2 linked regions of the Rhinolophus ferrumequinum genome follow. The protein of the gene in region 1 interacts with the protein of each later gene in a biochemical or structural test. Links are inferred from orthologs where the notes say so. Each region holds a gene or a part of one and is shown on either strand. Other genes may lie near its edges.

The links.
Region 2: the proteins of SH3RF1 (region 1) and AKT2 form a complex in vitro, tested with the Homo sapiens proteins (2 studies listed by BioGRID and IntAct, with this or other methods). The link is inferred for Rhinolophus ferrumequinum from reciprocal best matches to the Homo sapiens genes SH3RF1 and AKT2.

Annotation. Positions count from the first base shown.
Region 1 is NC_046301.1:36,021,058-36,036,497, forward strand, and holds the start of SH3RF1 (E3 ubiquitin-protein ligase SH3RF1), read left to right. Parts: upstream 1-8,237; 5' UTR 8,238-8,382; intron 8,383-9,904; 5' UTR 9,905-9,998; coding exon 9,999-10,391; intron 10,392-15,440. UniProt on the Homo sapiens protein: Has E3 ubiquitin-protein ligase activity. In the absence of an external substrate, it can catalyze self-ubiquitination. Stimulates ubiquitination of potassium channel KCNJ1, enhancing it's dynamin-dependent and clathrin-independent endocytosis.
Region 2 is NC_046298.1:39,021,859-39,036,717, reverse strand, and holds the start of AKT2 (RAC-beta serine/threonine-protein kinase), read left to right. Parts: upstream 1-7,120; 5' UTR 7,121-7,331; intron 7,332-14,859. UniProt on the Homo sapiens protein: Serine/threonine kinase closely related to AKT1 and AKT3. All 3 enzymes, AKT1, AKT2 and AKT3, are collectively known as AKT kinase.

The sequences.
Region 1 (15,440 bases):
CTTCCCTTCCCTTCCTTTCCTTTCCTTTCCCTTCCCTTCCCTTCCTTCAGCTTCCATCCTCTCCCCTTCCATCCAGTGCCCTTCCCTTCCCTCCATGCAGAAGCTGAGCACTGCATGATGGTGTGGGCAGGTAGTGAGAAATAACAGTCTGTAGATCTGCGGCCAAGCACCATCCAAGAAGGCTGGGATCTGAGAGAACCAGCAGTCGGAAGTAGGACAAGTGACTAACACGCTCAGGACTAAGTGTTGATAGTGGAGTTCCACAAACGTTTGAGATGAAACCCACAGGTGATGACTATTTATTAAGAGTGGGTGAAGAGAGGAGAGGAGGATTCCAAACATGAGAGTCAAACATCAGAGGACACTGCAGGCCAAGAATGTGAGAAGACTTAGGGTCAAGTTCTTACGGTAAGGATCACGTCAGTGGGAGATGGGTCTGGAGCTTGTCTCAGGGAGGTAAAAGTGCTGACAACAAGGTGTAGTTGGGTTGGGGCCTCACCTACTCTTCCTCTTGGCAAGTTCCAAACCCTCATCATTTAAAGGTTTGGGTAGCTTCTGGTGCCAATAGAAATGGAAGAAAGATCATCATTATCAAGAGATTAAAACATAGAATTCTGAAGTTATTAAGAGAAAAGGGCTCCTAAATTCCTCAGTGTGAAATAATGATGTCAATATCAACAGTGATGGTAATACTAAGATTAGTTCAGCTTTACGGAGTTCTTCCTGGGTGCTGTGTAAATCTACTAAGCACTCTCTTTTAAAAGGTTATTATCTCTTTTAAGCTTCACAACAACCGATGAGGTAGATACCATTATCTTCATTTTATAGATGATGAAACTGAGTCTGACAGAGGTTCAATAACATTCTTAAAGTCATGTAAGTAAAAATTCTCAGAACCAGGACTCAAACCCAAGTCTGTATGACTCCACAGCCTTAAGCATTCTGTTTATACACTAACTGATATTTACAATGATGGCCTGAAGTCATCTGAAAATGTTAACTTTTTGTGTCTTTTATTTCAAAAATCAGAGAAACTTATACTGCATCTCAAACATTTTCATCCAAATAAAAGTTGGTTTTCCAGTGACCCATTCTTCTAGGATTCTGGATAGCTGAAGCTTTAACTGTACTTTGTACTTCTTACTAGATTTCAGTCATTAGAGCTCTACAAATTGATTAAAATTGAGTTGCAAATAAAATTTTTATGCAATGGTATAAAATATATTGGTTGTAAATTCTGAGTACTACATAAATTCTCTCTCTTGCATTTCCTTGCAAACTTTATTTATTTATTTTTTTAAAAAGCCTTTTAAATGTTTTTGCCAGGATATTTTTTTAAATAATACTTCAATATGGACTTTTTCTTGGCAACCCATGTGATTTCCTGGAAGTTCCTGCTGAGTATACCCTTACTATATAAACATAAAACTTGATTCCCTCAGTAAAAACATCAACCATTTGCAAATGCCAACCGACTTTACAAGCAATTTGCAGCCTGTGAGTAAGGTCATCCTTTTTCTTCATATTTTCTCTAATGCTTGTAGTATGGGCCACAGCACCCTTAGCAAGTCTATTGCAAATTCCACTTTGCTGTCAGAGCTCCAGACCTTTTGACTAAACATCCCTTCATTTTCCTGGAGCAAAGAATCTGATTTAAATACTAGCCATCTTACCTGATCACATTTCCTCCAATATGTCAACTCAGCCATAACTGCTTTGAACATCTAACCTTTCTTTAACCTCCCGTCACATTCATACAGCTACACATAACAATATATACAATTCCTTTTCATTTATCAAAAGAAAGAATCCTTGGGGAATAAAGATTTGACAGCTCCTGTTACGAGATAATTGTAATACTTAAAAAAAAAGAGAGAGAGATGAGACAGATGGTGCACACTGGAGACATGTGGAAGTTTGCTTGAAAAATAGCTTCAGAAATTCAATTGAGACTGAAAAGAAATTATGTAAATCATCACTTTTGCATAAAAGCATCACGGAAAACACGGAAATTATCTTAATCTTTAGTCTTCCACAGTCTTGTCAAAGAGAAGGAATGTCAACTGGACAGATACTATCTTGGTTTCCTATTGAAAAACAACAACAAAAACCTCTGTAGCGCTTCATTTGAGTTACAAAGAGATTACTTTGAGTGAGATGATTAAAAACATTATCTTCTATACTGTAATATGATTATATTGTAATATAATTATAACGAAAAAATAAAAACCTGGATCATGAGCCTCCAGAGAATTCATGTTTTCTGTGTGTATGTTTAAGCTGACCTCTTTAAATGCATTAGAAAAGTCAACCTTTCTCTTTAATTTGATCAGAAAAAAGGGAAGTCTGAAAATTGATAAACAATCTTTAATATATAAAGATGAGTTACCAAGAAAGATTATGGAATTTCATTTCCTGAAGATGGTTAGATAAAGCAAAAGCAAAGGATGTTTACCTACTCTCTAATAGTTTGGGTTAGGTAAAGTTTGCTTAGGAGAAAAAGACCACTTCAAGGTTTAAACTTTTAAAATGATAATGGAATTTGATAAAAATATTTTTAATAGAAAGAAAGAAATCCTATTATATTTTCCTCAGATAGGTTAAATTTATCTTTGAACTTGGGTGAGAAATTTATTAGGTGTGCCTAGTTTCGGGCATGTTTTCATTGACGTTTAACAGCACTAAGCGACTGGACTTTCTGAGGCTTGATTGGGTGACCCTGATCCACTTTTAGGGTCTGGGAGTAACGTGGGGTCGGCCAGCCAGCCATGTGTATTTCTCTGGACAGGCTAAATCTCGGCTCCCTTTTTAAACTGATATTCTTTACAAATCTATCCAGCATTTTTTAAGAGGAGAAGCTGAGCACTGCATGTTGGTGTGGGCAGGGAAGGGGGGCAGGGCAGACTGGAATGAATGGAGGTGGCAACACTCAATGGCTCTCCTGTTGCCCCCAGCAAACCTCCCATGGTGCCAAGCTCCCATATCCTTCTCAACAAAACCAAAGCCCCTATTGATTAGCTTCCCTGGACAGCACCTGGGGTATCTCCCTTTTAATGTGCCTCTGGGTGATTCTAGGTTAGCGTTTCTCAAGTTATAGTCCCAGCAGCACCTATTTTATAATCATTTGATTCTTGAACCCAGGCTAGACCTACTAAGTGAGAATCTCTAGAGAGGAGGCCAGGGTGTCTGCATTTTTAAGGAGCTTTGCAGGTGATTCTGACTGCACTTAAACCTCAAGAACCACTCCCTGAAGGCTGAGTTGGATTTGGTCAGTTTAGAGAACTCCAGCTCTCCCCAGGCATTCCACTGTCAAAAAATTCAAATGTTCAGACCTGTTTTAAGAAGGCTGGAGGAAGATGCAGTTCAGTTACCTCCCACTCATCAGTCTTTCTCCCTAGCATCCATTCTGATTGAGCTGAAATCCTAGGGGAATGCCTATAAATATTCCATCTGCTCAGATTTTGTTTTGCCAGACAGTGGAGTTCACACCACCTTCCCACTACTACAGACCAAAATAGCTTCTCTGGGCTTGCCTGACTCCAACTGCTAAGAGCCCCACTCCCTGACAACTATGGCACTTCAAGACCACTTGGCTTTTTCCAAGGGGATTCCATTGCCCTTGGGTGTCCTTTCTGCAATTAGGATGGGCTAAAAAGTTTTAATGCTGGAAAGAATCTTAGAGGTGCCAATCCAATCCACTCTCTAATTATATAGAAACAGATGCAGACAGATACATAGAAAAGGAGGCAGGAAATAAACATTTGATTGAGTCCCTACTATGTGCCAGAAAGGTGCCGTGCTATATTTTTCAATGAGTTTTGACATTAATTTTTTACAATGAGCTTTCAAAGTGGATAACATTATATCCATTTGTGTATACAAGGAAGTTGAAACTCAGAAAATTAGAGATATTTGTAAAGTCATTCAGTTAACAGGTAGTAGATCCAGTATTGAACCTAGATTCTAATAAAAATAATAATTTTCATTTATTAAGCACTTACCATGTGTTGGGCATAGTGCCAAGCATTCTATTTTTATAAACTTACGTAAAATCGCCACAGAAACCCTGAGGTAGGTAGTGGTACTATGTGCATTTGACAGGGAAAACGCAGGCACAGAAGATTAGAAACTTGCGTGATGGTCACGCAGTGATAGATGGAGGAGCCTTTGACTCCAAGGCTCTCTCCAGAATCTCTCTTCCAGCCCCGGAGAGACTGGAAGCAGGGACAGTAGTTATAGTCCAAGGAGTAGCTAAGCAGGCCTGAAATAAGGATTGGGAGGAAGGGGCGGATTTAAGCAGCACTTCTGATGATCTCTGGATGGGAGGTGGGCGTGGGCGTAGAAGGAATTGAAGATAACTGCATTTTCTTGCTTGGGGAATGAAGTACATGCTGACACCATTAACTAAAACCTAGAAATGAAGACAAACTGGCATCGCATTTATGTTCTGTGATACATAGCCGCATTTAGTTGTTTTTCCAGCTTCACTATGAAATGTAAGAGGAAGAATTGTATGTCCTCATCTTCTACATGAAAATGTATCGATTGATAGATTATAAGGAAGACTGTCAAGGTAACTGGGAACATTGTCTGCAGGGCAATGAAGTACTCCGTGTGTATGTAGTGTTAGGATGGCAATAAATATAATTCCTTATTTGAAAATTATTCTCCAGTGCCCAATATGGGTTGGCTGTCAAGGATACCATGGCGAAGAGGAAGACCAGTCCGTGCCTTGAGGGATCTTATATTCAGGTAAGGAAGATAGGCAAAATAGAAGGAATACAACATTAGGCTGTGAAAAGTACTATAAAGATAAATGGAGTGCCATGGTGGAACATGATGGTGCAGGGTCCAGGTGATATAGGGTCTTGTAAGATGTGCAAGCCATTTGATTCCAAGTGTGATGGGAAGAAATGGATGAGTTTTGAGCAAGGGAGTTACATGATCTGTTATACATTTTTTTTCTAGCTCCCTCTGAATGTCACTACAGTCAGGGCAAGATTGTGATAATAGGCATAGAAGAAAAGCTGGTTAGGAGGGCCAGAGGCAAAGAGTGATGGTGGTTTAAATAAAGATACAGTGAAGGCAAAGAGAAGTGGGTAGAAATTGAAATATATATTTTGGGGTAGCTGGGAGAATTGTTGATGAAGAGGGATGGAGAGGAAAAAGGAGAAATTGAAGATGACCTACATTTCTAGTTTAAACAACTGGGTAAATAGTGCTATTTACCAGTATCATGATAGCTGGAGGAGTAATTAGGTTCGAAGGAAAATGATGACCAGACACATGTGTGTATATGCGTGTCTAAGCATGATACGAAAGCTTACCAAAGAGTACTCTGGACTGGGAATTCAAAAGCCCGACTTGTGTCATAACATCATCACTAAGAGGAATAACTTCTCCACACCTCATTTTTTCCCATCTACAACAGGGGAATGATTATATCTGTCTTTGCTGCTTCAGAAGGATGCTGAGAAGATAAATGAGATAACATATATGCAAGTTCTTTGAAGTCTTGGGAGGATAAAAACCGTGTAAATCCAAGCTATCATCATTATGTACAGGGTGTGTTTATATTATTCATATATCTACTCAAAGTCACAGGGGCCATAAGTGTATCACACATTCTTTCCTTCATGTTCAGTGCTCAGAAATGGCAAGATGAACATACTTCTGTTTCCCCAAATGTCCCTTCACTTTATTCTCTTAACAGGATTTTGCAATTATTAGTGTTGTTTCAGACGTTTAAGACCCTGGGAAAAAAAAGGGTTTTGCCCAGTAACTCAGCCTGGGTAATTCTTGGGAGATAATGATAATGATGGTATCTTCTTTAATAGAGATGTGCAGATTATAGGGAACCAGCACGTTGTCTTCTGGAATCCTCCAACAACACTCTAAGAAAGGTATTATTTTTTCACCATATGACAGAGGGAAGATGGCTCAAGAAGTTAATTTGCCTAAAACCTCATTTTACAGCTGGAGTAATTAAGGCTAATGAAAGAGTTGTGTTCTAAAAAATATAGTAAACTAGCACCAAGGACATTCAAAGAACCAGATAATATTCATGGGATGTGTGTGCCATCTTCTTTGATCTCTGCAAACTTGGACACGTTGTCTTCAGTTCTTTGATAATGGGTATAACTACTGATTTTCTTGCCTAGAGTTTCAAGAGTTGCACCATCCCACCCCATGACCTTGTGTTAATGTTGTCTCTAAATATGAACAAACAAACAAAAAAAACAAAAATTGTCCCTTACTCTCCAGAGTAATACATGATTAATAGTAGTCTTTCCCTTGTGGGGAGACCCAGTGCACTCAATTTTGCCTGAGGTGATGTGCAAAAGAGAGGTCCTTGGAACGGTGAAAAGAAAACTGGACTTGGAATCCAGAGACATGAGGTTGAGTCTTGGTTCAAAATTCCTTATTGTGTGATCTGGGGGTGAAGTGAACCTATTGGAGCTTCAGTTTTAATAACTGTTAACTGCATATAATGTTTATCTGTTTACTGGCTGTAACCTTCTAGTCAGCCTCACCTTGGTCTGAACGATTCCAGAAGCACAAATATGGAGCTAAGTAGTCACTTACAGAGTGCCTTGTTTATAAATTATTGGATTAAAAATTCTCTATTCTGTTCATTTTTTTCTCGTCATGCTCAGTAAAAATGCATGTGTATTTGCTCACTTTTAATGGAGGGGGAAGAGGGTTCTTATTTCTGGTATTCATAGAGTATGATTCTCAGCATATTAATCTATTTAGAACAAAGCTAAGAAGGAATGACGTACAGGGTTGCATGAGGATTGAATTAATGCATGTGAAATGTTTAGCAAAGTGACTGGCATAGAGTGAATAATAATTGTTAGCTGTTATAATTTTTTGTTCTTATTTTGGTTATTCTCATTTGTGTTGAATGGTTTAGTTGTGGCCCTGGCTGGAAACTAGAGAATAATCTGACTCCCTATAAAAATGGCAGCATGGTCGACAGCCAGGTAGAGCTTTCTTCCACAGTATCTGTAACCATTCTCTCCTTATTTTCGCCTAGTTTCTGCACACCTAGGAAGGGTATCTGGGATAACTTTTTGTTAAGCTGACGGTAAATGCAAAAAAAATAATGACAACTTTGAGATCAACGACAAAATTTCAACTTGTTTTCCCTCTGAATTGAGTCTGAAAAATAAACCTCAAAACCTGTGGAGGGCATGTTTTTCAAAACTGCATTTCAGAGTTTACAGGTGTGTGCCTGGGGCAACCAAAACAAAGATTACAGTGGTTATGGCTGCCTCCCAGGCTCAGATGAAAGAGGCGCCTCTCAGCTAGCTTTACGTGCCAGCTCACCTGAGGTCACACTTTGAATTTTCCCCACGTAGGGAAGGTAGAACGGGGCCTCCCAAGGGTGGGTTTCAAATCCACACGACTGTTTTTTCCAGCCCGTCTCCCTTCCCATTCTGAGTTTCTGGGTCAACAATTCTCAGCTTGCTGCGGGGGTGCGTCCCGGGGGAGGCAGGGTGGTGCCTGGGTGCAGGCAGAAGGGGGAACGATGCGGGGCGGCGGTGGCCCCGGGAATCGGCGGGTGGACAGCGACCCTGGGACCGACCTCTACTAATTCAACATGCCTCCCTCGGACCTAAGGGGTTCCAACACTTGGCCCTTATTCTACCCAGTGTCTCTCCAGGGCTGGGCAACCCGATGCAGATCAGCGTGGGATCAGTTCCCGCCAGGGCTGCTCCCGCCCTTTCCCGGGACCCAGCCCCGCCCCGCGCCGTCGGTCCCGGGCCGCCGCGCCCCGCCGGGCCGGAGAAGGACGCGGCCGACCCCTGCCCCACGGTCCCTTCCTCCTTCACTCAGCCGCCAATCCCAACGCCCTCCCCTCCGGTGGCATCACTTTGCAGGCGTGTTTTCCTCCGAGGGAGGCGTGCGCCCCTAAGCCTTCCTCCTCGCCGCCCCCTGGGGACCCCGCTTCGCGGACAATCGGCTCTCCCAGCGCCCCCTTGGTCCCCCGACCCCTTGCGCGCCCGGGCGGGGGTCCCGCGCGCAGGTACCTCAGCGCCGAGAGGAAGGCGCGATCGCCGCGCGGTTCCGCGAGGTGCGGCGCCCGATCCGGGGGGAGGCGCTGTGGTCCGGGGCGGCCCCTCGCGCCCCGGGCGCCGGCTGCGGCTCGGCCTCCTCCTCCTCCTCCTCCTCCTCTTCCTCCGCCCTCCTTGGCTGGGAAAGTGGGAGGTGGCGGCGGCGTGTGTGTGCGCGCGTGAGGGGGGCGGTAGAGAGGAGTCTCCGGGGCCGCCGCCGCGTCAGACACACTGTGAGCGGCGATCGCCGCGGGGCCGCATCCGCATCGGTTGCCTCCACCGCTGCGGGGCCGCGAACAAAGAGGAGGAGCCGAGGCGCGAGGTAGGGCGCGGGGACCGGCGCGGGCACAGCCTCTCGGTGGAGAAGGCGGTGGTCAGGGCGTCCCCTTCTCCTTCCCTCCGCGCTGGTCAGGCTCTCTGTCCCCCACCCTCGGGTCCCTGTGGGCCCGGAGCCGGGACCTGCGGGAGCGGAGCCCGCGGCCTCGCTGCCTCCTCCCGGCAGGAAGCTGCCCGGGCTCCGTGCCGCGCTCTCACGGCGCAGCCCCGCTCCCCCCGCTCTCCGCTGGCTGCGTCTCTGGGACTCCCACGTCCTCTCTGCGGGGTGATCGCTGGTTCCCGGTGGCACTTTGTGGGGCTCACTTTCGCAACTCAAGGCTGCGAATTTATTTTTAAGTCCTTGAGAACTTCCAGCGGAGAGATTTTGTGCCCGGCCTGACCCAAAGGGAAGTTGCGATGAGGCTGTTGAATGAGATTCCCATTCGGGCACCGTCCGGGCCACAGCCCCTGCCCGGGACCCTTCCCCTGCCGGGTGCCGGCGACACCTGGCTTCGAGGTGTATCTGCGGCGCGTGGCCGCCGCGCCTCCCTGCGGGTCAGAAGTACCTGTGCTGGGCTGCGTGGCAGAGAGCCCCCCACCCCCCTGCCCCGACTCTTATCAAGAACAGCTGTTAACGCTCCCATCAGAATCTTTCACCCCCTTCCTCCTAGGCATTCACATTTACGTTTCTTTTGATGGTGGTGGGAGAGCGGCGCAGTCACTGGTTTAAGGCTTTTTCCTGAATTTTCATATTATGCCCACAGTTTTCAGTCCAGCATTCCATTGTCAAATTCTTTTGGTGGTAATTTTGCCAGATTTTCTGAATGGGATTAGGGCAAGCTGTTCAGAAATCCATTTCAGAGTTTGTCAACCACTGTCCTGAAGGGCCCTTTTATATTTTAGCTGCTTTCAAGCCAATCTGTAGTCGTGTCCTTTAAAATTGTCACAACCTTCAACTCATTTTGGTTGGACAAGATTAAACAGTTCTATTTTTAAGGCCAGTGAAGAAACATATGTATTTAATATTGGGATCATTTACCACAAAGTGATCACATGAGGCTTGGTTTCTTAAACTATAAAGTGTTTTATAAATTGGGAATTTTGTTGGATTTAGAAGTAAATTCAGGTGGAGGAAACTTTCAGTTGCTTCTGTTCAGCTCCTCATAAGTTGAGGACTTTATTAAGGCAGCTAATGTCACTTTGAGAGCTGAAGAAATTATGTTCTTTATTACATTTCATAAATCGTATTTATTGCAGGAGTCCTGTATAGTGCTGGATACGTATGTCTGCACAGTGAACTAACTCCTAGCTATGGCTAAGGATTAATTTTGAATTGTTGAAAAAGCCTATTTTGTTTTTAATTGTTGACTTTGGAGTTCAGGAACTACATTCCAAAGCAAAGCTAAACTATTCAGAGGAAGCACTTCTGTGTACTTTTTGGTTCTTGGCTCTACTGTGAACCTTGTCCCCAGATAACAATACTAATTTTCCATCTTTTCTCTCCCCCTGCCCCCACCTTGTGACTCCAGAGCAAAGTCTGAAATGGATGTTACATGAATTACTTTAAAGGCTGCATACAACTATGAACATTGCTGAAGCTTTTCCTTAGCAAACTCGTTAAACATGGATGAATCTGCCTTGTTGGATCTTCTGGAGTGTCCTGTGTGTCTAGAGCGGCTTGATGCTTCTGCAAAAGTCTTGCCTTGTCAGCATACGTTTTGCAAACGATGTTTGCTGGGGATCGTAGGTTCCCGAAATGAACTCAGATGTCCCGAGTGCAGAACTCTTGTTGGCTCGGGTGTTGAGGAGCTCCCAAGTAACATCCTGCTGGTCAGACTTCTGGATGGCATCAAGCAGAGGCCTTGGAAACCTGGCCCTGGTGGAGGCAGTGGAACGAACTGCACAAATGCTTTGAGGGCTCAGAGCAGCAATGTGGCTAACTGTAGCTCAAAAGATCTGCAGAGCTCCCAGGGTGGACAGCAGCCGCGGGTGCAAGCCTGGAGCCCCCCAGTGAGGGTGAGTAGCTGCAGAAGTAGTTTGGTGCATAACAGTGGCGATGACCACATTTTTTTCTTTATTCTTTAGCTCGATGTTTTCTAAATCAGCTCATTGCTAAAGAAGCCTCACTATGACAGATAGGAAATTGTGCTTCAGGATATTTTTTTTCCCCTGTTGGAATGAGATTGGATATACATAATACATTTTCTTGTTTTTAAAAATGTTCTCCAGGTAGTCTCTATTACCTTTTAAGATAAATTTTGGGAAACAGGTAGTGATTATTCAATGAAATCTAAAGCACAGCAGTTTTTTGTGCACATTTTAAAATGGAAACTTGTTATGGTTTTACTTTGTTAATGGAGTTGGGAGAGCCATAATTATGCATGTATGTGTACATATATGTATACATATTATAAATATGTGTGTGGGTAAATCATGAGTAGGAAATCAAGCCTTAACGTTTATGTTGCTTAGAGCCATTCTATTGGTCTTATGAATCCACAGCACAGAATTTACTGGTTGGAGGAATTCTTAACAAATCATGGCCACAGGTAGCAGAGTTTTGTTGCTATAGCAACGAAACGTCATTTAGGACTATGCTAAAACAGCAGATAATCTAGTTTTATGTTGGGTTTTACATTTACAGGGAGTGAAATGAAATGTTCCATCACAATGATTTTTCTTGGGTTTGGGTTTGGGCTGAAATAACATTAAGTGAAAATGAAAATTTGGACAGTTACCACAATTTAAATTTCTAGAAGGTAAGGTATTCTGAATAAATCTAAATTTATATTGTGGGTAATGGCATGCCAATAAAACATGCTTTTCTCATCTTTGTAAAAATAAAAAGTAGAGATGGGCATCAGATAATTAAAACGACTCCATTGTTGGAGGAAACAGTTTTGATAATTGGCCAAACAAATAAAGTCTATTTTTGAAGAACAGTTAACCTGGATGAGAATATTTTTTTCAAATCTTTATAATAAACACTCAAATCTCACTTCTTTCATTTAACGGAGGAACAACCCACTGGGGTGATACTAGATAGGATAAATTCACAGATGTGACTATCAGACCGCTGTAGTCTCTCAACTTACTTCCCTCTCAACTCATCTTTTAAAATGATGTATGTACATCAGTAGATATAAAGTGTGTGAAGTGCTTTAATCAATAGAAAACAGTTTCATCACTAGGCTATCATATTTCTTTTGATTCACATTTAATTGTTTATTTTTTTAAGATAGTGATGACATTGGGTTAGGAAGGTTTTCTTTCCATATTTGAAGCCCACAGGTAAAATTGTTCTGCTTATAGTAGTTTTCTTAGATTTCCTTTATTTTATAGATTTTACCTGTACCTTGATGAGTGGATATGGACTCATGAATATTTTTAACCTCAGAACGCGTGATCAGGTTGATCATTTCTGAGACACCTGACCCAGGTTTGCTTAACTAGGTAGTAGATTTGCTTCTTTGGAGAGATTTTGTTTCCTTGTTAATTAGACTAGGGAAGGCATAGCCCTAGGTTATGAAGAGAAGTATCTTAGTGGTTGAGTGGCCTTCCTGTTGTGAGGAATTCATTGAAGGTTTGATTACTGATAAAAAGGAATTTAACAAGAGGGCTCAAGCCTCAAGCATTCAACTTAACATTTTCTTTCTAACGCAAATTGACTATGTAATGACTGATGTTGATTCACTTGAACTACTAAGCTCCCAAAATTGAGTTTCACTTTTTAGGTAAACTATTGTGAGATTTTGATGATGTATTTTTTTTTTCTGGCTTATATGATTTTTCCTACTTTATTTCATGTTTCTTCTTTAGCATGAGAAAAATTACCCACCAGGAAGCCCAACTGAACTTGAGCCTTATAACTTGGATAAAATAGTTGAGGTGGATAAAACAGGAGATAATAAATATGTGTTACTTTGGTGGGGGCACAGGGAGTGGAGGATGAAGCAAAGCTTTTCAGTTATCTGAGTTGATGCAAATGCTGCAATACTTATAAAAAGGAGTGTTTTGTTTTTTTTCCTTAGTCTCAATTTCTCATGAGCAGTTACCTAGTACCTTTTGTTTTCAAGTATTCAAAACAGCCAGGGCAACACTAATAGTCCAAGCATCTGAAAGGTAAATACATCTCAGAAAATACTCCTTTAAAAGTAAGAAATCTGTAATGTACAGACATGTGGAGGTTGTAATGTACTCCTTCGGACACTTCCCTGAGGTGAATGACCATAATAAATCCCCAACCTGCATCCTCCTCCGTTAGATGTTCTGACATGACCAAGTGGTGCCTGAGCCTGTTTCCACATGTTGCGCAAAGCTGAAAGTGATAACATGTGGAATGTTGCTTCAGTTTATTAGTTATGTTCTGTGTTCCGTTAGATTGTGACCATGTGGCTTCCTCATGTGTTTAGCCGAGGTAGATGGAGTGTTATCAGCAGATATGAACATTTCCAATGTGTGACACACATCTTGTTCCCAGAATTTTAGTGTTTCCTGCCTAACATGAAGGAGAAAATGAAAAAGTGTCGGATTGGAGTCACCATGGGAATCTGTCAGTTCTTTACCCCAAGTAAAAAATTATTGTTTTTTTTTTTTCTCCCCTTCTTCTGCCTCTCCTGCACCCCCACTTCGGTTCAAGCCATTGTTTTTCAGTCTAGTGTAGGACACAACTCCCTGACCCATGCTGGTATTATGAGCCTTGCGCTCCCCCCGCCGCTGGCCGGCTGCTCACGCTGGCCACCGGCTGTTCGTGGCAGCACACAGTAGCCCACAGCAGCACAGCAGCCCGCGGCAGCCTAGGGCAGCTCACGCCGACCTCTGGCTGCTCATGGCAGCCCAGCTCCAAGGAGAGCCATTGTTGACAATCTTAGCTGCAGAGGGCGCAGTCAATGGCCCATGTGGGAATTGAACTGGCGATCTTGGCGTTAGGAGCACGGCGCTCCAACCACCTGAGCCACCGGGCCGGCCCTGTTGTTGGTTTTAAGCCAAAGTCAAGCAGTAGAATGAGTCACAGGGAGAGGATGGCTGCAGATATCTGTTTAATGGACTGAAAAATACCTGCAGAAGATAAATTACACACACACACACACACACACACACATATAAGTGCAGATATATATATGTATATATATATACACACACACACACACATATATATACACACACATATATATATATGCAGAATGAGATATGGAAAAGATGTTTAAGTAATTCCTATAGAATTATGACAGAATAGTTAAATTTCTGCTTTCTATATGTGATTCCGTTGATTCAAGATCTGTATCTGTGCATGCATCTGTCTAGGTATTATTACTTAATGATTTCACATTGCCTCTACCTCAAAGTGAGTTTATTCAGCAAAAATGCATCACATGACCGCTGGTTTACACTAATTTACTCTTCATTTATTCTTTCCGTTGTCTAACACATATTTATCGAGCACTTATAGGTGGCAGGCACTGCTCTGGCTACTGGCTAGGTAATGATGGACAAACCAAATACAGATTCTGCTTATGAATTTATGAGTATGTGTCAGTTTCCTGGGAGAGACACATTAACATAATAACAATGCAGGTAGGTGATTAAACATGATAAGTGTTAGCATAGAGAGTTAGGGGAGAGGACAGGAGAAGGCTCCGTGTGGATTGTGAGGGTAAGTTGTGTGTGTGTGTGTGTGTGTGTGTGTGTGGTCTTCAAAAGCATCCTTGAAGAAGAGGCATTTGAGCTGAGATCTTAAGAGTGAAATGATTAGTTGAGAGGGTGCTGGGCGGTGGGAGGGCAGGAGGGGAAGATTATTTCAAAGGCCCTGACCTACAGCGGACGGGACATAACTTCTAGGAAGAACCGACGGAAGGTGAGTGTGAACTAAGCAAGGGACAGGGGTAGTGACCTAAGATGAGGCCTCCCGTGCAGTCATGTGCAAGGCATTACGAGCCACCGCAGGCCACATGGGGTGAGGGCCAGATGGACGTACACGCAGCTAGTAAGTGCTCTGTATTTGAGGGATAGAAAGACAGATCATTGGGACTGAGATGATCAACAAGCCTTCAGAACAGAAATGAAATTGGAGTTAGGGGTCGAAGGACTGAGGCACGGAGAGGAAAGGTAGGGGATATGGATGTGGGGGAACACAGGTGAAATTCCTTTTCTCCTGCAAATGCCGAGCATGCTTCAGTTTCTCCAGAGCCATACTCACCCCTCCGTTCTCTCCCTATTGCTGACTGTTATGTGCTCAATTGTGTCCCCTAAAACTCTGTGCCCCAGTATCTCAGAATGTGGATTTGGGGAAAGCCTTTAAAGAGGTGGTGAAGGTAAAATGAGTTTATATGGGTGGGGTCTAATCCATAATATGACTGGTATCCTTATAAGAAGAGGAGGTTAGGACACAGAGAGACACAGAGGGAAGACCGTGTGAAGACACAGGGAGAAGGTGGTCATCTGCAAGCCAAGAAGAGAGGCCTTCAGAAGAACCCAACCCTGCCAATACCTGACTCTTACACTTCTAGACTCCAGAACTGAGGAAATAAGTGTTGTGAGGCCAGCCAATCTGTAGTGCGTTGTTACACACGGCAGTCGCAGCAAACATATACTAGCTGTGATGTACTCCCAACAGCCCCTTCAGTGCCTCTCGGTCCATGGCCAGTCCCTTCAGTCCTGGTTTCCCCAAAGTCCTGCAGGGGTCCAGCCCTGCTGTGCGCTTTACTCCTGTGTTACAATAACCTTGAGAAGTTGTTCAGTTCTTGCTCACTACCTCAGATGCCCACAAGGCCTGGCACAGTTTCATAAAATGGAAGGTTTATGTGACAATGTACCAGACACACTAAAAGCTTTGGAGGAGATGGAAGGAAATACCAGGACGAGACACGTACTTCATCATCTTTCACAAGTTCTTCTCTAAATGGAGTCTAGAGAAGTTGCTTTATTGAACATTGGAGTGTGGGTCTACATGAGGCATCGCCCAAAGGAGAGGCAGCAGGAAGAATCCAAAGAAGGAAAGAGAAAGGCAAGACAACAGTGTGGCCCCAGGTAGGGTAGGGAAAGCTCGTGCTGGCTCTGAATTGCCCT
Region 2 (14,859 bases), on another chromosome or scaffold:
GAAAAAGAGCTCAGAGATAAAGTGCCATTTTGTTAAATATCTAGGGTACATATTGTCAACATGATTTATCACTGTTTATGTTAACCTTGATCACCTACTATTTGTCAGGTTTCTCCACTGTAAAGTTGCTCTTCTTTCTCTTTCCATACTGGGTTCTTTGAAAGGAAATCACTCGGAGCAGCCCACACGCAAGGAGTCGGGGGCTCGTGCTCTAACTCCTTAAGGGCAAAATACCCACACAAATGACTTGGAATTCTTCTGTGAGGGAGATTGGTCTCTTCTATTTATTAACTTAATCATTTTTTTAAATCAGTATGGACTCATGGATATTTATTTATATTTGGGTTATAATCCAATGCTGCTTTATTTATTTAGTTCACATTATTCCAGCTTTGGCCATTGGGCACTCTTTCAGTTGGCTCCTGTGTCCCTTTGATGTAGCTCCATTATTGCATAGTCGATTTTTGTTTGTTTGTTTTGTTTTGTTTTTGGTACATCCTTACTTTCTGGCACTACAGATACTCCGGGCTCATCTTGTATATTTCCTGCCCTGGTCCTAGAATCAGCCATTTTTCCAAGGAGTCTGGTTCCTACTACTGTAGAGTGGTATTAGGAACCAAGATCTCGGTAGGAGATGTGCTGGTTGCTACTGGGGCAACACCTCCTTTTTAAAAAAATGTAATCTGAAAAGTGTTTATTTGGGATTAACTCATGCACACAGTACAAAATTCAAAAACACAAAGGGATATGTACAATTAAGACTGTTCTGTGCCCAGTAGACTGGCAAAAAATTTAAAGTTTCAATGTTGTGGAAGATTTGGAGTAATGTGAGTATGTACACTGCTGTAGGAATGTCAGTGTCAGCCACTTAAAAAGTGTTAACAAAACCCCACTTTATTGAGATCTAATTCACATATCACACAATACACCCAGTTAAAGTGCACAATTCAATGGCTTGTAGTTATTCACAGAGTTGTTGTTAGTCCATCACCACTTTTTAGAATATTTTCATTACCCTGAAAAGAAACCCCACACCCCTTAGCCATCATTCCCCAAGTCTTCCCATACTCTGCCTCCCTCGCCAACCCCTGGCAACCACGAATGTACTGTTTCTAGATTTGCCTCTTCTGGACATTTCATATAGACAAAATCATACAATATGAGAGGCCTTTTGTGTCTGATTTCTGTCACTTAGCATGTTTTCAAGGTTCATGCATGTTGTAGCATGTGTCAATACTTCATTAATTTTTTTTGATGAATATTGCATTGTATGGATATGTCACATTTTGTTTATTTAGTTGGTGGACATTGGGTTGGTTCCACTTTTGGGCTATTACAAATAATGCCTCCATGAACATTCGTGAACAAGTTTTTGTGTGGACATATGTTTTCAATTTTCTTGGGTATATACTTAGGAGTCGAATTGTTGGGTCATATGTTACTTCTATTTTTAACGATTTGAGGAACTGCTGGACTGTTTTCCAAAGTGGCTGCCCCGTTTTACATTCCCACTAGCAGTGCGTGAGGGTTCTGATTTCTCTATATCCTCGCCAACACATTGTCTGCCTTTTAGATTATTGCCATCCTAGCAGGTGTAAATGATATTATTTTGGTTTTGATTTGCATTTCCCTGATAGCTAATGATGTTAACATCTTTTAATGTGCTTGTTGGAAAAAGCTTCCTTTTAAAGTAACTGCATAGTGTTCCCTTGTGTGGATGTACCTTGATGTATTGAACCAGTCCCTTATTGTGGACACTTAGGTGGTTTCCAAGTCTTTTTCTGTCACACACAGTGCCTCTTGCGTATGTGACATTTTGCTCACGTGTGAACATATCCACAGGGTAAATACCTAGGGCAAAGGGAATGTACCTGTGTTTTATAAGTTTAAATTTATGCCACTTGTGTATTTAAAAGTAAATATTGAGAATAATCAGAGTTGTTTGAAGAACATTCTAATTCTTCCTCCAGTGTTAACGTTTAGCAGGTTCAACCACATCGGAGTCGGTGGCCACTTTATTTTCCTATTTTGTTTTGGTTAAACTTTTGCATAATTCAAGACTGACTTTTGCATAGACTCCATGTCAGGTTGAGGCAGGTGTTCAGAGCACATAAACCTACATTCATTCTTCCAAAATTTTCCCCTAACGGTGCCTTTCTGCCCCCTCATATTTAGTACTGTTCTTGCTCCTAAGTGACCAGCATTGCATGTCTTGGCGATCGTTTGGCCTTCTTGATGGTCTGTTATGATTAAGAGCTTGAGCTCTGTCTCTGTGTGATCTTGGGCAAGTGACTCACCTCTCTGTGCTTCAGTTTCCTTTTCACTGAGATGGGAGTAATAGTAGCACCTACCTCACAGGATGACGATGAGGATCAAATGAGTCAATTCAAACAGTGCCTGGCACAGTGTTGTTATCTAACATTATCTCTGCAATTGATGATTTTCAGGGAAGATATTCAGCACCAGCATTAATTAGTACCACCACCTAAAGAACCCTTTAATGACATTCTCATAGGCTACAAAAAAGCGCTTTTTGGGTAACTCTTTATTTTTATATAATTATAAACTTATAGAAAAGTAGCAAGAATAATACGAGGGTTTCCTGTCTACGATTTGTCCACATCTGCCAATTGTTTGCTCATTTTTCTTACCATTCCCTGCTTTCCCCTCCCCCTCTATAAGCATATATACACATAGGTTGTGGTTTTGAACCATTTGAGAGTTAAGTTGGAGAACATGATGCCCCTTTACCATGGAATACTTCAGTGTGTATTTCCGAAGAACAAAAACATTCTCTTTCATGAGTACAGTACAACTATAAAAACCAAGAAATTTAACATGGTTACAATATTCTTATCTAACCCTCAGTTTCATTGTCTCAGTAATGTTCCTTATTGCCATTTCGCCCCCGGCTCAGAACCCAATTCCGGACCATGTGTTGCTTTTAGGAGTCGTGTCAGTTCCTTTTAAGTAACCACACAAAAGCCCCCCAGCTTGCTGCGGGAATCTTGATGCCTGCTGGTCAGCAGGGTTCCAGCGAGGATGGCCAGCGCGTGTGGCGCCACCTTGTGGCAATAGCTTGAATAGCGTTTATAAATCACATCATTGGGCAACTGTGAAGTGATTGATGCCCTTCTTGATGACCTAAAAAAAAAAATGGAGTGATAGTCATATTATCTCTTTTTCTTCATAATGTGGGAAACTATGTTTTAAGTATGTTGCTGTTTCAAATCCACATACTTTAACTTAGCATAATACGATATTTTGCTATCTCAAATCTGGACCCGCACCGGTGAAGTCCAGTGCAGTAGGTAAAAGTGTGAGGTTGGCCTGAGACGTCCTTGGGAATGCATCCGGGTGCCGCAATATTCTGGCTGTGTGATGTTTGGCAAGAGACTTCCCCTCTCTGGGCCTCTGTTTACTTCTGCAAAATAGGCCTTACGGAGACTTCTAAGTAGACAAGTTCAGACCTGAAGTAAAATTCACCTCAGTACAGAGCTTTCACCTGCCTAATCAAAACCACAATCAGTCAACAAATATTTATTCATTCCCCAAGCCCCAACTATGTGGCAGACATTGTTCTTAGGGGCTGGGGAAACAGTGGTGCCCAAGACAAGGTCTTTGCCCTCATGGGAAAATTTATATTCTGGTTTGGGGAAGACAGTTACAAAATAAACTACAAAAATATTCTTTAGTGTTAAGTGCTAGGTAGGGGATTCGGATATGCTAAAGAGATAGTGACAGCCTAGCTCTTTCGGATGTGGGATGGTCAGGGAAAGTCTCTAAAGAGGTGAGATTTGAACTGAGTTCCGAAAGACAAGAAGGAGCCAGTCATGCAAAGATCAGGATTGGGGTGAATAGCTCAGGCACAAGGAACAGCAAATACAAAGGCCCCGAGGTGGGGACAGCTTGTCTTTCTGGAGAGGCAGAAAAGAGCTTAGTGTGTCTAGCACATGGTGGTCAAGGGCGAGAGTAGCTTGAGATGAAGTTCGAAAGATCGGCAGGGCCAGCTCACATAGGGCCCTGAAGGCCAGGGTGAGGCTTTTAGCGTTTATTCCATGTGGGTGGGAAGCCATCTGTGTGTTCCGAGCAGATCAACAAGGTGTTCAATTTTACCGAGGGGAGAAAAAGCTTCATTTCAAAGTCTGCCCCAAAGTGCAGTAGCCTAGCACGACCACGGAAACATTTTGGGAATCTCCTACATGTTAAAATATTGAATAGGCATGGTGTCTTCTATTTCAACTTTTGAAAGAAACAAATTTCATAAAAAGAAAATTGGAACTAACATTTATAGAATCCTTGAGGTTCATCTGTACTTCTGCCAGACACTTAAAATGACTCTAAAAGGATCTTCCCAACACAGTAGCATCTAGGGTGGGGTTTAGTAACTTCTGGCTGGGGAGTCAGAAACATTATTTCAACATTTCTGTATAATGTGGGAAACCCTTTGAAATAAAAACTTTTAAAAAATGGTGTCAGACTTCTTTGAGAATCGGATTAATGCTGTGGACTTTCTCCCCTGAAAACACTCTGCTTAGGATGAAGAAAGGGAGAATTCTGATTCCCTCTGCTTTCATTTCCTAATTGCCCATGTGGCAAGGAGGTGCCCCTGCCCCCATGGCCACCGCCACCACTATCTGGGATAGACCCTCAGCCCTTGTGGGAAGGAGTAGAAGCCTCCCCATTTGGGAATCCTAAAAGCTGGTCCATGCAGCTTGTCCAGTCACCACTGGGAACCCAATCTCTGTGAGAAGGGTTGAAATGGGCTCCAGGGGCTGACGTCTGCTACCTGGGGACAGAAGGGGGCTTTGAGGAGATGCCCTCTCCGTCCCTCAGGGCTGGATTCTTAAATCACTTTTTCTGAATCGAGGCATTTGAGCAGACATGATAAGCTACCGGCCCTTCTCCCCAGAAAAATGCACAGGCAGCCCATATTTATAGTTATGGGCGGGGAGTTCACAGAACAGATTAGAGGGTAGAGAACAATTTGGGGTTTTAGGGAATTTTCTCCTCAATCACCCTTGATGTGGAAATTGAGAGACTGAGGCCCCCAAAAGATAATTAAGTGGTTTGCTGAAGCAACACTGGACAAAAATAGGGCCAATACTTTCCTGCATGGTATGAGTTCAAAGAACAGGCTCTTGTATGAGACTGCCAGGGTTCAAATCCTACCTCTACCCCTAACTTGTTCTGGGACAAATACTGCTGCACTAACCTCCCAGAGGGTGTTGACAGCGTTGGTGGGACGGTGTTAAAAGAACCCGGCCTCTTAACAATTGCTAAATAAATTCGATTGATATTTTGCAACGAGGAAAAGCAGGCTCAGAGAAGTGAAGTTATTTTGATGACACAGGAAAGGCATGATTAGAACTAGGGCTTGTCCATCTCCAAAGCCAGTGAGAGCTGTTCACCCCCCCAGACTAGTGTTTTTCAAACTGCAAGGCATGACCCATTAATGGGTCAGAAAATCAATTCAGCCGGGTCTCAAACAGCACTGAAAAAATTAAATGTTAGAGTGCATCATACGTAAGAGTAAATAGAATTTCATAACACTTGTTTCATTATACTATAAGTACCCATATGTGTGTACCAGGCCTTAAAATAGTTTGAAAGCCATTACTAGTGTCCCAGGGAGTTTCTACACAAGCATATGGGAGGTTTCAGTGAGATACTCTATCCTTTACCTTAGGAGGGGCAGGGATTCCAGTCACCAGGAAGACCTGAGGTAGGGATAGGCTGTGAGCTGTTCAGCATGGAGAGGAAAGAAGAGGGTAGGCCACAGTAACCTTGAGTCTAGATTAGAGCAGAAGGGTGAAACAAATATTCCCCAAGGGCCCACTCTGTGCCAAGCCTTTGCTGGGCAGCTAGATACGCAGTGATGACGGAGACAGTCCTGGTCTTTTCCTTCTCGGGGCTCTCTGTGCAGCAAAGGAGACAGACCTGTCACCAGACACTGAGGCTCTAATATGGTCAGGGCTGTGGTAGGGGAGGCAATAGACAGAGTTATCAACACTGTGATGGGGCAAGACGATGAATTAGAAATACAGGGCAGCAAGTTTCAAGCTGGAAACCCATTCATTAGCTAAGGGCTAGTTCCAGCATTAGGTTCACGTATGGGGAAACTAAGGCCCACCGCCGAGCAGCACCTGCCAGACACTCTCTCAAAGACTTAGGTGGACCCAGGATTCTTCAACTCCCAGCCAGGCCTTCTAGAAAAAGTATGCACTAACCAATACATACTTGCCAAGCCGTGTGGCATACTGGGACCCAAATTCATAAGCTAACGAGCCCCACCCAACCCTTTGGAGAGAAGGGACTGGGAGCCAGATGTTTCCCAGCTGGTTAGTACACCAGCTAATAAATTGGGCCAGGATGTGTGCAAAATTTTTCTTGGGTGATTTTAAGGCCTTTGTAGGCCCAAGTTACCCCATAAAAAAGTTATATCCCATATTTAATTGCATATATACGATAAACAGATACGAATATTTTGCAGTCAGAGGATGTCTAATTGCCATAAGCTGTTCTGTTTACATAAAATAGTCCAATCGCCCAGTGACGCAGGTATGATCGTTTCCATTTTGCAGATGTGGATACTGAGGCACAGAAAAAACGGTGGAGCCTTCTGCCCAGTCACGAGGAAGAAAATGCAAAGCTGGCTTTGTGTGGTTTCAGAGGCTGAGCTCAACCATGAGGAACATATTGAAATGGCAACCCCTGCTGACTCCAGGTCCAGGGTTCTTCACGGGCTTTCGGAACCTGGGAGGAAAAGCCAGACCCGGGAAAAACGACATCAAAGCGTATGTAAATAAGGACCAGGGGCTGCCGGGAAACATCACTGCGACCAGCCTCTAGGGAAAGCGGGCGTCAGTCAGGGTCCTAGTGCGCCTGCTCACTCCTAGCTCTTCTTTCCGTCCGGCGCCTGCGCGAGGCCCATCCCTAACCAACAACGGCCAAACTTGTCTATTGTACGCAGGCGCCCTGCTCTGAGTCCGCCTTCGCCCCTTCCTTGCGCTTGCGCTCTAGCGCTCTCCGAGTCCAACTCTCGCTTTTACGTCAGTTCCTGTTTGTGGCAGGAGAAGGCGGTATTTCCGGCCAGAGGGTGGGAGGGGGCGGTAAGCGGGGGCTGGGGGGAGGGGGCGGGGGGGCCGCGCCGCGCGAGCCGTTGGGTCTGGCTCCGAGAAGGCGTTGCCGCCGCCGCTGCTGCCGTTGCCGCCGCCGCTGCCGCCGCCGCTGCCACTGCAGCCAGGAAACACAGGAGCGGGACCAAGCGCAGCGTGGCGATGGGCGGGAGTAGAGCCCCGCCGGAGAGGCTGGGCGGCCGCCGGTGACAGGTGAGTGCGCCAGCGCGTGTCCCCGAGCGGCCCCCCCCCGCGGTGGTCGCGTCCGGACCCCCCGCAGTGCCGCGCTGGGCCGTACCACCAGTGCCGGCCGGGCGGGGACCGCGGTCCTCGAACCCCCCCTTCCGGGACTGAGTGGGGGTGGCTGCGCGGGGGTGGTAGTTCTAACCCTGAGGGGCCGGGGGCGGCGGGCCGTACCACTGAAGCGGCGAGGGGCTACCAAAGTGCGAGGACCGTACCACTGAAGGGCTGGGGGCGCGGACCCCAGCATGTGCGTGGGGCGGGCTGAACCCACGGGGTGTGAAGGGAGAGCGCGCCTGGTGGGCGAGCGCTGAACCCTTGAGAGGGCGCACCTTACCAAGTGTACGGGGCTGTACCTATTTGGGGCTGTGGGAGCAGTCCCTGTAATTCGTTGAGCGAGGTGGGGGCTTCTGGGGAGGGAGCTGTACCAAGTATGGCCGGGGTAGTGCCGCCTGGGTTATGCCACTGGGGGGAGCCATCCTTAGAACGTAGAGAACGCTACATCAAAGGAGGAGGGCTGTGAAGTTTATAATTTTTGAGGGACGGGACAGGCCCACGTGGGTGTTCAGGGGAGTATTTTGGGAGGGCTGTAATGCAAGTGACGAGGAGGGGCTTCTGCCTCCTAAGTTTGGTGGGTGGGGCTTGGGGTTTACACTTAGCTGAAGGGAGGATCACCCTTTATTGAACTTAGTGACTTTGAGGGGAACTGGGCGGACACTGGACTGCTGTTTACCCCAGCACCCTTTCATGTTATTACGCCTTATTTTAAGATGTGTGTGACACCTCTGTGGCAAGTGTTTCTTTCCTTGGGGAGGGTGAGATGTCTTAGAAGCCAATGTTTGTGGTGTTTTGAGCTTTCCTCCATTTAGGGAAGGGAAGGGTTATTGAGCTTGGATTTAAGGAGCTGTGTGCGCTCCCGGTCCTGCTTAAGACTTGGGAGGAAGGGGCGTTTGGAGGGACACCTCTCTCCTATGACAAGGTGGCTGGGGACATCTTGATCCTTGGGATTCTGAGGATCCCCTTCCTCTGATTTGGAGGCTGCTTGGACTCAGCAAGGGGTCTAGACTGGAGTAATGAGGTCCTCCATGGGCTGCCATTCAACCTTGTTCCTCTTCCCCTCCCAGAGAAGCATGGGGAGTTAAGTCAGGCCTGCGGGCCTGCCCTTGGTTGGTGGTGAGTGTGAAGGGGCCAGGCACCACCCACCGCAGGCCCCTCTGTTCTCCTTGAGGCTGCTTGTCTCTCTGGGTTAGCGGTCCAGCTGCCCATCATGTTTACGCTCCCCATCAGGCGATAACAGTTGGCCTCACCATTAGTCGGCAATGAGGCTAAGCACTGTTTTCCCAGCTGTTCCTCTTTGCATAGGCCAAGGGGACCCAGGGAGGAAAACTGCTCTGAAGGATTTGGGACAGCCAGATTCCCCACAGATCTGGCCTTTGGGTGGATGCTTGGAGCAGCCAGCCCCAGACGTGAGGCCACTGTCCTTGTTCTCCAGGCCAGCTTATGACCTTGGCTTGCCCAGTAACCTTTGCCTTGGGTCTGGAGTCCCCAGAGGGCTGGCTGCGGTCCCCGATTGACCCAACTAACATGGGCTGATGATGTGGTCAAAGGGGACAGATGGTCGCTTCTGGTCCACAGCGTCAGCTTCCACGCTGACTGGCTCCTGTGAGTTGTGGTTCCTGGAGAAAAAGGTCCCTGAGTCTCTGTGAGGCCATGGTGGCTCTACAGTTTTTCTCCACTAAGGGTTTGTTTTTCTGGTCTCCTGCCAGTTTTAGAGGGTTTGCCTGATGGGGTTAACAGCAGCAATAAAAACAATTGTGAGATGGATGGCTGACATTTATTGAATGCATTCTGTGTGCTGTTCAGAATGCTTCACGTGGATTAAGTTGCTGAATACATCCTAGAACCATAGGTACTATTATGATGTTCTGTTTTAGAAGGGGAAACTGAGGCACACAGAGGCAAATCATTTCCAGAGCTAGTGAATAGCCAGTTTTTATTGAACATTTACCATATGTCAGGCACGTGACAGGCCTTTTACATACAAGACCTCATTTAAATCTCAAAACAGCCCTATGGGGTGGGTATGGCTGTGCCCCTTTTGGAGACCCCTATGAGGCAGAGAGAAGTGTGATACCCATTTTACAGATGCAGAAACTGACACTTGCTGTGAAGTGAAATGACTTGCCCCAGGTCTCACAGCAAGAAGTGATAAAGCTGTGAACCCCTGTCACCGTTGGACCTCAAAGTTGTACCTCTTGTCAACAAGTAGGTGATTTCTTTGCACCCAGAGGTGGATATGGTGTTTCTGTCCATTTTGCAGAGCCAGAAATTGAGGCTCAGAATAGGAATTGCCTTTTCCTAGGTTTACCAGACCTAGAGGGCCAGCCTGGGGTTTGAATGCATGTTAACTTGTCTCTGGTGTCATGTACTCCTTGCTCACTGAGTCCCAAGCTGGAGTGGGTCTCTGTCACCTCAAAGCCCCTGCCTTGGACCTTGCCAGCTGCACCTATGGGCATTTTGTTCTCGTCCCCAGAGCCTAGGACTGCTGTGAGCATGTCTGCCGGCAGCCAGCCCAGCATTTCTGGGCTTGCTGATGAAATCTGGTCTATCCTGAGTTGGGCCAGGGCATCTTTGAACCCGGGGCAGAGTGTGTGTGGGGAGCCAAAAGAAGACAGTAAGAGCGATATGCAGAGGGTGACACAGCTACCAGGGGACCTGTGGTAGAAGTCCCTGCACAAGGATGGTGTAGTGGGCACGCCTGCAAGTTCTTGTGTTTTCACGTCCTGGCTGTGTGACGTTGGGCCATAGTGTTCATCTCTGTGCAGTGGGCTCAGAACAGTACCCACATTGGGCTGTTGTGAGGATTGAGTTAATTCATGAGAAGCTCCTCGAATGGTGGCTGGCAGTGTGTAAATGCCCAGTCAGCAGTCCCAAGGGCATCCACCCTTCCCTACCCCTTACCCTTAGTCCTCTTGGGTGTCCTGCTATCCAGCCACCCAGCCTGGCCCAGCTAGGATTCAGGAATCTGGTGTCCTGGTATCTAATCTCCATGAAGAACTGTGTTGAAGTGATTCAGAGCACGGGGTTCAAATCCATCCCTTCCACTTACTGGCTGTGTGACCTTGAGCAGGTTCCTCAACCCTTCTGAGCCCAGTTCGTCATCTGTGTCATAGAATGATGATAATTCTCCCTTGATCGGTTATTGTGAAGGTTAAATGGGCTCATTTGTGAAAAACATTTATAACTGGGCAGGCATAACAGTAAGCCTCCAGTAAACGTTTCTTGCTCTCACTACATTTAAGAAGAGTGCCCAACGTGTGGTAAGCCCTAGGACATGTTAGCAATTGTGATTCACATCCTGCTGGGATTTTGAAGGCCCTTTCCAGGTTACAGAGCCTTGACAGGTAACACCATGAGGAGGGCAGGGCTGAAGTTAGCATCTCCATTTTCCAGATGAGGGTTAGGAGTGGGAGGGATGTATAATCCAAAGAAAAACTGGCAAATGCAGCACCCAGGTCTTCTCAGTCTCCCACACATTTGCTGCCCGGAGCCCCTCAGAGGTCAAAAGTCCAGCTCCTTTCCAGATGTCAGCCTCTGCTAAGCCCTCCTCCCATACATGTGTTTACTGTATCTCCATCACAGTCCCCAGGAGTAGTGGGAATGGCCTTGACCCAGGTGAGGGACAGCCCTTTTGAAGGCTTGAGGCGGAAGGGTGGGCAGGGAGCGTTGGAGAAGTAAGTGCTCATGGAGTCGGGCCAGGCTGTGCAGAGCCTGGTGGGCCTGGTCAAGAAGCTTCGATTTGATCCCAAAGCCATTGCAGAGCCGAGGAAAGGTTTTCGTTCATCCACCACCATTTGTTGAGCACCTACTGCATGCCTGGCATTGCTTCAGGTGCTGGAGATACAGGGTGCACTTGACAAAGGACCCACCCCCGTGGAGCTGAGGGGGACAAACCCTCAACTGGTTTACTAAAAGAGGGGCCAGTGAAAGGGAGGGGCCAGGCAGTGAATTAAAATCAGGTGTGACTGGTGCTGCTTTAGCTGGGCCGCTGTCAGGAAGGCCTTTGAGCTGATCCCGCATTGACAAGGAGACAGGAGAACAAACAGCCTTGGGGTGTGTGGGGGGGCACAGTACAAAAGTCACAGGGAGGACAGAGCTTGGTGAGGTGCAAGGACAGGGTAAGGGAGAGGGTGTGGGGGTGGGGGTGGCCGAGGGCTGGGCTACTCAGAGCCTTGCAGTCCGGCCTAAGGAGCAACTTGGGTCAGTTTTAGGGTTTTAGCAGGTGCCTTTTTCCATAAGAGAGGTTCTCAGGCCTGGGGTGGGGGTAGGTTTTAGAGATGGTCAGGGAGTTTCACAGGCCTGCCACTTCCCTCTTGAGTAGAATCTCTGCCTTATAAACTGTGAAAGCCTGATGGTCGCCTCCCTCCTGTGGTTTTCACACCGTGTTCCCCAGGGCTCATGGCTGTTCCCTTTAGGGACAGATGGGGGGAGGGGTCAGTGGGCTGATTTGCTTCCTACTCTCCCCAACCCAAATAGCTGGGCTAACATCAAGTAACAATGCAGAACGGTAGTAATAGTAATACCCGATTCAAAACAAAACAAAACACTTGCTGAATCTGCCTTCCGCTCAGCTTCTGTGCCTGAGGGCCTATGCCATTCTTGGCACTGCTCTAGAATTTAGAAGACTAGGCCTGTGGGCCTACCTTCTAGTGGAGACAGTTACCCAGTAAACAAGCCTATGATGGGACATCAAGTCAAGATCAATGTTATGAAAGCAAAGAGAATGGGGATCAGGAGAAAGAGTGTGGGGATATTAGTATGTTTTAGCTGGGATGATCAGGGAGGGCCTCCCGGAGGAGGCAACGTGTAGGTAGAGACTGGAGTGCAGTGAAGGAGCGCCGGGAGGACTTGAGTGAAGACCCTGCAGACGGAAGAGGAATCAGCTCCGATTCCCACCTGGCAGTGGTGCGAACAGGCCTGGAAAGCCTTGGTAACTTGTGTTGGGTCCCACAAACTGGCAGTGTTGGGACCAAGCTCTGAATTCGGGCAGTTTGGCTCCAGAGTCCCCCAGCCCACGAAGGCACTTAGAACCCTGGGTGAGGGTAGCTTCTAATCGCACACCTGAGCCTCAAACCTAAGGTTTAGCGCAGTGAGCAGGAGCCTGGCTGTTGATTCTCCCAGGCCCGTTTGGGGTGTCCTCCAGGAAGGACTGGAGCCCCTCAGAGCAAACCTCCTGGGGTCCCCAGAATTTCCTTGGATTGGGAGGATGGAAAGAGTGTCCTTTGCAGTTGATCTCCAAACCTCTTGGGGATCCAGGGACACCCCTCTCTGGGCCTCTCTTCGCGTTCCCAAGAACTCTCAGTAGAAGGCTCTCAACCAGCAGGCCTCTGGGCTGCACGGTGGGGTGGTTCCGTGGCAGGCTCTTCTGGACAACCAGCCAAGCAGTGAGAGGCCCAGCTGGGGGAGACAGCCCTGGGAGCAGCACCAGGAGGGAGGGAGTGGAGGAGTCGGTGTGGGAGGGCTGCGGGGTGGGATCTCAGCCTGGCCCCCTTGGGGGCAGGACCCACTGCCAGCTCGGCACCCACAGCAGGGCCCAGCTGCGCTGCGTTCTTGAGGCAAGGGACAGCAAGCCGGGGCTGGCTGAGGGGAGACTACATGTCAGAGGTCCCCGCAGGAAGTTCCTGGAGTCTCGCTGTTCTGCCCAGGAAGCTCGTCCACAGATGTTGTTTCTAAGGGTGAGGCCAGAAATCCAAGCCTGTCTTGGTTTGCCACCTCGTGGGCCCTTTCCCAATGGACTGGGGCGGCTGCCCCAGACCTTGCCCCTCTCCCCAGACCTTCCTAGCCTGGTTTTAGGTCATCTTCATCTGGTGGGTCTTTGCGAAGTGGTCCGGGCCCGGGTGGGAGGTGGGCAGCCAGCCTGGGTGTGAACCCTGCTCCTGGCTCCTGCCTTGGTTGCTGGGAAACCCTGGGGACCTTATTTCATCTCTCAGGTGTATTTTGCTCAGCTGAAATGGGAACATCCCTGCTGAGTGGGGCTGTAGAGAGGTATCCGGGAACTAATAATGTGTTAGAGAGTGCTTGGTGTGGGGCCTTTTGAGAAGGTGCTCAAAGGATCCAAGCTGCTGCTGCCGCTGCTGCTAGAGGTCGTCAGGCTGGGCACCTGAGAGCAGAGAAGGGGTTCTGGATGCAGCCAGCCTGGGCTTGCTGGTTGGCAGAGCAGGTTTGGGTTTGGAGCCTTGGGAGGGGGTGGCAGGCCAATTAACTGAGGTTCCCACTGGGGAGGGCTCCAGTCAGAAACATTGATCACATCCATCAGTGAGACCCGGCTTGGCCAGACATGGCTCTGAGCACTTCGTGTGTGTTAGCTCAGACACGCAGCAGCCTGTGTGGTGGATAGTAGTCACCCCCATTTTGCAGGTAGGAAACTGAGGTGCAGAAAGCTACACAGGAAGTCCGCGTTGTTACTGAGAGCCCGCAGAGTGGCCTCTCTGTGCCAGGCACTGCCCCGGGGTTTTACGGGGTGCTCGCGCCAATCCTCAGCGTAACCTGGGAGCCTGGCACAGCTAATCTCCTCATTTCACCGGGGAGGACGTGAAGGCCCAGGGAGGAAACTGGATTTGCCCGAAGTGTTGGTTCATGACACGTGAAATTTGAACTCATTTCTATCTGGGGTTGAGTCTGGCTTTTTAAGGCTGGCTTTTCTGCCTCCGACCAATGTCACGGCCATTGTTTCTGAGGTCGTTACTGTTATGTTAAGGATCTTTCTGCTTTCTCTTCTAGACCCAGCTGGCACAAAGTAGGCCTCACTTGTCCCAGAAATGACACGATTAGCTTCATTTGATGCCCGCTTGGGAGATGGGCTGTCTCTCTCCGTTGCCTAATGCCTGTGGAGCTCTGGCCTTGGCCGCCCCTTCCTTCCCCAGAGCCAGGGGAAGGGAAGAGCGTGGGAGGCACTCCCCTGCCCCGTGCCTTGGGGTCTGATTCCCAGCGGGCCTCTGCAGTCAGCCTTGGCTCTTTTTGGTCATTTGCGTATTCCATTCTTTGACCAAGTAATTTATTGGGTACCTGCTACGTGCCATGTGTAGTTCTGGACACCGGCGAGTGGCATGCAGTCTTAGTGGAGGAGGCAGAGAAATAGCACTTGGTGTGGTTGAGAAAGGGAACGGAGATCTGGCCTTGGTGGGAGGGGGGCTTGGGGAAGGCTCCCGAGGTGAGACATGAGGCCGTGAATGTGAATGTTGGAAGCAGTGGGCCACACGGGTACAGCGCGGGAAAGGCCCTGAGGTGGGAACAGTGGCTGCAGCAGGGGCAAGAGGAAGGTGGCAGGGCCCAGGTCTGGCAGACAGGGCTGGGCTCCCTTAGGCTGGGCTTCTCAAAACTAGTGTTCAAAGACCTGGGGGGTGGCGGCGGCAGGTGTGAGCATGTGTTTTGGGGTAGTGTCTGCGAGTCGTCTACTTTTTTTAGCTGTGTATTTTCATTTAGGTGATATTTTCAGAAACTT